Linked DNA regions of Saccharomyces cerevisiae S288C. Changing the gene in region 1 together with any one later gene gives a genetic interaction. Each region holds a gene or a part of one and is shown on either strand. Other genes may lie near its edges.

Region 1 (3,825 bases):
GAAAGGTGAGACATTTGGTTATGATAAATGGTGGTAATCATGAAAACATAATAATAAACCTGCAGAGGTTCATATCAAGTTTTAATTCAAAATTTGGCACACGTAATAGCAAACTTTAGTTCATATTCTGTAATATTAAGAAATTATTTTCTTTTCTGTCATCCTTTCATATTGCTTAACTTGAAATACTTTATCTCAACGTTTAATTATACTGTTAATAATGATATTTCTATATTTTAGAGCACATTTTGGTCGAAACATTCAAAGCGACCCCTGCAATATTTAGCGGAGGCATCTCATCCGCCTTATTTTTGTAAATTAACGATCTTTAGCGCATGCCAAGTGTTCGATAACAAATTCCGACTTTAAGAAAAAACGGGCACGAGCATACAATAAAAAAACTTTTAAAATTTATACCTCCTTGAGGTGTTCTATTTTATGATAGATCCGTATTTCAGATACCAAATGTTATATACACTTTTTTAAGCTTGGATTTTTTTCTGAATACACGGACCTTACAAATGCTATAAAAAAAAAAAAGATTCTGTAACTTGTAAAATTAAGGGCCCTAAAGGGCCATATCCACCTCACATTTCACTGTGATATAAGTAGGATATTTTGACTTCAATACTTAAATTTACAAGCCAAATATTTTATTATGACTTCAAAAAAAAAAAGGCTTCTAGCATTCAGAAATAATGCTGACTGTGAAAACAACTATAACTACATCAATATATCCTTCCCTCTTTCATGACAAATAGTATGTTGCTCTCGGGTTCATCCAAAATCGTTATATCGTCCAACGGATTTGATTTCATCATCAGTAGGTCAGCAATGAACCCTGGCTTAATCTGTCCCAATTTATCGCCTAATCCGTTCATTTCGGCAGGAGTAACAGTTGCTGAGAGCAAAATCTCTTGTGTCGTTTGAACTTTCCCTCTAATACGAAACTCTTGCGTTTGATAACCATATAGAGGACCCAATAAATCTGAACCAAAACAAATTTTAACTTTTTTTTTCTGGGCAATTTTCATTGCATCAATTCCTTTGTAAAGCACCTCTGTATTTTTTCTACTATTTTCAGGTCCCAAGAATGCACTAAATTGATCAGAACCCATCACTTTGTAGGTAACTAGTGTTGGAGTCAAGTAGCAACCCAATTCTGCCATAAGCTCTGCGGTACGTTCATCTAATAAGTTTCCGTGTTCGATACCCTTAACACCTAACTTGATACAATTTTGTATCGCTTCCGCAGTGTAGGCGTGTGCTGTTACGTATGTGTGGTAACTATTTGCGACATCTACAAGTGCTTTTATTTCGTCGTCGCAAAATTGTTTGTTTGATATTTTGTCAGTTGGAGAGGCCACACCTCCACCACCCATAATCTTAATAAAGTCTGCACCTCTTCTAAACTCTTCTCTGGCCGCTTTGTAGCATTCGGGAACACCATCTGCTACAACACCAACTTGACCAAAGTGGCATGAACAGCTGTCAAAGGCACTAGCAGGTAGGGCACCAGATCTCAGATCGCCATGACCACCAGTTTGGGAAATGGCATGTCCACACGTAATTAATCTGGGACCATTCAAGGATCCCTGACGAATCTCTGCTTTCAGAAAGCCTTCTGCACCCCCACAGTCTCTCACTGTTGTGAAACCTCTTGCCAGAGCGGCTTCCAAAGTGTATCTTATTCTGAGTAATGCAACTGACTTTGGCATCAGCATTAACTTGGTCAGATCAGCCTCTCCTGCAACCGACGCAATGTGGACATGACTGTCGATCAGACCTGGAGTGACATACTTACCGGTGCCGTCAATAATTTCAAAGGCAACTTCATCAACGGTTACCGGCTTTTCAGAACCAAATTCGACCTTGGAAATGACACCCTGTTCTATGAAGATGTAAGCTCCGAGGAGACTGACACCGCTTACCACATCTATCAAATTAGTGTTACTTATACAGTAATTTTTGAGTGGCTCTGGGCGCTATGGTGCCACCAAGTCGGCCAGGGACTTGTTCATTCCTTCATTGACATCGATTTGATAAGTCGTCATTTTTATCTCGGTTAATATACTGTTTCGATGTCCCGTCAATTGGAAAGAAAAGCTACGCTACATACCAGCAAATATGTTGCTTTTATATTCGCTCATATCGGAGATCAATTACCGACATACTCTTCTCTATTCAACAAGTTCTCCGTTCTCCGTCAAGTTACGTCGTTTACGAACGATAAGAGGCTGATCAAATAGGAAGGAGATATTGTCGGATCATTTTTTAGTATGGAGATAATGCGTCATGCCGACATGAAGGCACCATCATCTGTGAAGTGTGTCAAGAAAAAACTGGCGAAGTTAAAGCTAGATAATCCGAATAAGAGGGATAGTAGAAAGGAGGTGAAGTAAAAAAATTATCACCATTTTTTCTCTATTAGTAATGAATTCTTCAAGGACTTTCAAAAGTAAACGTCACAAAAATTTTTATTTCTCAAGAATCTTGTTTATCGAAGGGTCTTTATTGAGAAATGTTAGAAAATTGGTAACTTTTTAAGATCAGAGTTAACAGGCAGAAAAAAAACAGGGTCTTTTTGTTCAGGAACCCTTTTTGGCTGAAAAAAAGAGCGCACAGAACAACGCGAAAAAGAAAAGGAGGAAATCGCGTATCCTTATGGCGTCGCAAAATTGCAATTAGTTAGCTATGTAATCTGTTTGGAAAGCTTCCTCAAAATTAATAATGGCGAAAGCAATATAACATCACTATTACATCAGGAATAGCTGTTGCCATACGATAAGGGGGTAATGAACAGATTGCTCATTAATGTCTATATTATGCATAATACGATTTTAATGTTCGGAATCTGTAGATGGTGCTAACATTTTACATGAACCAGCGAATAACCAGACTGGACTCGTTTGACCAAAAAAATTTCTGTTGGTAGTCTGTGTAGGTTTTCACAAAGAATAGTATAAATTGATACGCAACGAAATTAGTGGTAAAAATTTTTGTTTACTTTACGGCTTACACGGGGCCGTGGCTGATACTGGGAATACCATATCGTTTCGTTCCAGTGCCGATAAAGTGGCTGAAAAAAATTTACATATTTTTCTTGAGAGAGGTCTTTAACTGGTCTCACAGAGACGGTTAATCAAATGCTCGGAAACAGGATAAATGAGGACATCTGCACAATCGGGTGTTACCGCCTTATCTTGTTAGCAGTGGCTATAATCACTCCAGAATATGCCGTCGTGTTGGTGGCATAAAAAATTCTTTTTTTGCCATATAAGAATATCCAAGTTTAGGAATGACGCAAATTCGACACCAGGAATAATTAACGAGTTAATTCTCCCGACCCTCAAAATTTGAATAACAGTGCCCTCTTCTATCTGTTCACCACGGCACACAAACGGTTTGGAAAGATGTTGCTTTGGGTGTGAAAACTTTATTTATCACTGCTTTGCCATCACAATGTCTGTGATTTGAAGACCAGCTACTTCTCATTTAAAATAATATCTTATACGTACCATTGCTTCCTTTTCTGTAAGATGATCAACTACACGTCATCCTGAAAAGCAACATCACTAACAACTTGAGGCTTTAAGTCCAAACTCAATGTTGCAACAAGATGGTTTAAAGCAGCTCTTAATCAGTAGAAGCGAATATCAGCAGTAGACTTTTTGGCACTAGAAAATAAACTTCTTGAGTAAATTCTAGAGATACCTGCCTAGAAAACCCCCCTGAAGAGCCAATTTAGGTAGGAATTGTAATAAAGGTCTCAAGCTTGTAGGAGAATTATTTTTTTAACCCGCAGCAACAGTATTGTCACTTTCT
Region 2 (3,671 bases), on another chromosome or scaffold:
TCATCTTTGAGAATGGGCATGCAGCTTCCCCATCTTTGACTTCCGGGTGATGTTGGGGTAATTTTTCATCCTTTTGCTTTTCTAAATCATTTTGGTCACGTGTGCATTTTGGGGCTAGCTTGTGATTGAACAGTGATACTAAGTATAGGTAGGCTGCAGATAATGGGGCGACACCAAGTCCGCACAAAAGGTAGTTTGGTCTTTCTCCTGGTGCAGCTAGATAGTAGCTGAGTCCAAAGGCACCAGTAGCTAAACCACCTAAAACGGTGCTCCAGCATCCTAATGTGCACAAAACATTCTTCAAATGTTGAGTTAGAACATTTATTGGGGTGGTAATAGAAATCACGGTAGATGAAGTTAAAATACCGGCGTATAAACCTAATGATGAGACTGCGATACCTTTTACAATAGCTGGGGAGACTTGCATTTGTTTTTTAGTATATGTAAGGATTCTTATGAGTGTTTGTCTTAAACTTGCTTTTCGTGAGGTAAGGGTTAAAAAATCAGCTTGGATATAATTTGGAACAATAGAAACTTCTTTTCTCTCATTTATATACTGATCAACTCACAATTATATAACCTGGTTCTTTTTTTTTTTATTTTTCAACAACACAATAGATTCGAGTATGGGTAAACGAAGAGAATTACTTCGGCATTAAGCAAGGGAAATATCGCGCAACCGCGCACGTAATTATTTTTACTAAACGAACAGCAAATGCAGCAGAGCTAATGCGATGCATAAGATACTTGGATTCTAAGATCTGTTAACTTGAAAATGCTCTATATATCTGTCAAAGACACTATATTGTTGTATACTAGTATATATCTTTTAGTCAATTTCGATTACTTCCGGGCTTTTGGGAGCCTTGGACTTGGACGAATCATGGTCACTTTTCGTTTTTCTCTTATTGCTCTTCCTTAGTGAGATCCCTTGGCCTTGGAAATTTTGTTCACTGGATTTGCTACCAGCGGCACTTTCTTCGTCTTCTTTCGGTAGGACCATTGGGAAACCAAAGAATAATTGGCCTTCAGGCAGATCTAGCTTGGCGGGCTCGCCATCAAACGTTATCTTCATATCTTTTATATCTTGCTTGGGCTCCGCTTTCGGAGCTTTACCAGATATGTTTTGTCCCTGACCTACAAATTTAGATAGTTTGTTTCTGCTACTGTTAGCGATACCCGCATAGTCGATTCTTGTGGACATCGATCCCTGGCCAAGCACCGAGGGATCCAAAACTTGGCCCTTACCAAAAGAATTCTTTTTTTCTTTATCTTGCTGAGCTTTCAGCGCTTTGTAATCCGGTTCCACATATCCTACAGGTGGAGCAAAATCTGTTACTAAATCTGTTTCAATGACACATATACTCTTCGATGATGATTCTGGTTTGACTTCTAAGATCTTAATTTTGAAAGTTTTACCATTGTAACTAATCTCAATAACATCGTCCACGGTCAAAGTCGAGAAATTCCTCAGTACGTTTTCCAAAACTGCTTTGGGGTCGGAAATATCCAAGAAATCTACAGACTGAGGTTCTAACTTCACAAACTGGCCCAGAGGTACATCAGTAGATGAAATTTGCAGTAGAGATCCTGGCTGTATACCCAAAGTTTCCATCATCCATTGTGGTAAGTAAACTCTGCCCTCTTCAGCAATAAATTCTAAAACACCTCCATGTGTCACACGTCCAGTTTCATTGGCAGTTAGTTTAAAAAGCATGGGGTATCTTATGTTCAACATGGATAGTTTGCTTAGAGCACTTGGTGGCAGGAATATTTTCCCGCCGAAGTTTGCGTCATCCTTCCGTATTCTATCATTCATCATAGCTATAGGGTAGCATCTAAAGAACTCCTCAAACGTTTGAGGCATATTTACAAAACCATTTCCGCCGCCAAAAGAACTAAAGCCAGAAAACATTTTTATTATATTTTACAGTATCACTTTGATATTTTTTCCTCCCTTGCTATGGTATGTGTTACTATCTATTGAAAACTACATCATTATCTCTTCCCTATTCACATAGACCAGCCAGGATTACTTTTAACTACCTTTATTTTTCGCCACCTAACCCAAAAAAGGAATTCTTCTCTTTCGTAGAACGCAAGTTTGACTTTTTCGTCGTAAAGGCGAGTTTCCCAAAGTGGACACTTTTTTTTTTTAAGGCGCTTCGGCTAGAAATAGAAGAACGATAATAATGGCAGCGCACTGTGTATAATAACACCAGTCAACAATGAATCTGAAGCTAGAGAAAGAAACCCTCAAGTGTATCTGTGATGGCAGCAGGAAAATTGAAAAAGGAACAGCAAAATCAATCAGCTGAACGAGAAAGCGCTGATACGGGTAAAGTTAACGATGAGGATGAAGAGCATCTATACGGAAATATTGATGACTATAAGCATTTGATTCAAGATGAGGAATATGATGACGAGGATGTACCTCATGATCTACAATTAAGCGAAGATGAATATAATTCCGAACGAGACAGTTCTTTGTTGGCAGAATTCTCGGACTACGGTGAAATATCTGAAGACGATGAGGAAGATTTCATGAACGCGATTAGGGAAGCAAGTAACTTTAAGGTAAAAAAGAAGAAGAAAAATGACAAAGGTAAATCTTACGGCCGCCAAAGAAAAGAAAGAGTGCTTGATCCAGAGGTAGCGCAATTACTTTCTCAAGCCAATGAAGCTTTTGTCAGGAATGATTTACAAGTGGCCGAAAGATTATTTAATGAGGTAATTAAAAAAGATGCACGTAATTTTGCTGCTTACGAGACCCTAGGAGATATATATCAATTGCAAGGAAGGCTTAATGATTGTTGTAACTCTTGGTTCCTGGCAGCTCACCTAAATGCTTCCGATTGGGAATTCTGGAAGATAGTCGCTATACTGTCCGCCGATTTAGATCATGTTAGGCAGGCCATCTACTGCTTTTCCAGGGTAATAAGTTTGAATCCTATGGAATGGGAATCAATTTATCGCCGGTCTATGTTGTACAAGAAGACAGGACAGTTAGCAAGAGCTTTAGATGGATTTCAAAGGCTTTACATGTACAATCCTTATGATGCAAACATATTGAGGGAGTTGGCCATTCTTTATGTTGATTATGATCGGATTGAAGATTCAATTGAGCTCTATATGAAAGTGTTTAATGCTAATGTTGAGAGAAGGGAAGCGATATTAGCTGCTTTAGAAAATGCCTTAGATTCTTCAGACGAAGAAAGCGCCGCAGAAGGGGAGGATGCAGACGAAAAGGAACCCCTTGAACAAGATGAAGATAGGCAGATGTTTCCTGACATCAACTGGAAAAAAATTGATGCAAAATATAAATGCATACCATTTGACTGGTCTTCTTTGAACATTCTCGCGGAACTTTTCTTAAAACTCGCAGTTAGTGAGGTCGATGGTATAAAGACAATTAAAAAATGTGCACGGTGGATTCAACGCCGCGAAAGCCAGACATTTTGGGATCATGTTCCAGATGATTCAGAATTTGACAATAGAAGGTTTAAAAACAGTACCTTTGATTCACTACTTGCCGCAGAAAAGGAAAAATCGTATAACATTCCAATCGATATTAGAGTTAGATTGGGATTGTTAAGATTGAACACAGATAACCTTGTTGAAGCTCTGAATCATTTTCAATGCCTGTATGATGAGACTTTCAGTGACGTTGC

The links.
Region 2: mutations in YJL213W (region 1) and UFD1 together harm fitness more than expected from each alone (negative genetic interaction), as found in Saccharomyces cerevisiae (2 studies listed by BioGRID).

The regions. Positions count from the first base shown.
Region 1 is NC_001142.9:30,062-33,886, reverse strand, and holds YJL213W (uncharacterized protein), read right to left. Parts: upstream 1,725-3,825; coding exon 729-1,724; downstream 1-728. Other genes in the region: oligopeptide transporter OPT1, read left to right, coding at 1-37.
Region 2 is NC_001139.9:588,070-591,740, reverse strand, and holds UFD1 (polyubiquitin-binding protein UFD1), read right to left. Parts: upstream 1,916-3,671; coding exon 830-1,915; downstream 1-829. Other genes in the region: SCM4 (Scm4p), read right to left, coding at 1-427; transcription factor TFIIIC subunit TFC4, read left to right, coding at 2,272-3,671. UniProt on the Saccharomyces cerevisiae protein: Functions at a post-ubiquitation step in the ubiquitin fusion degradation (UFD) pathway. Has a role in the endoplasmic reticulum-associated degradation (ERAD) pathway.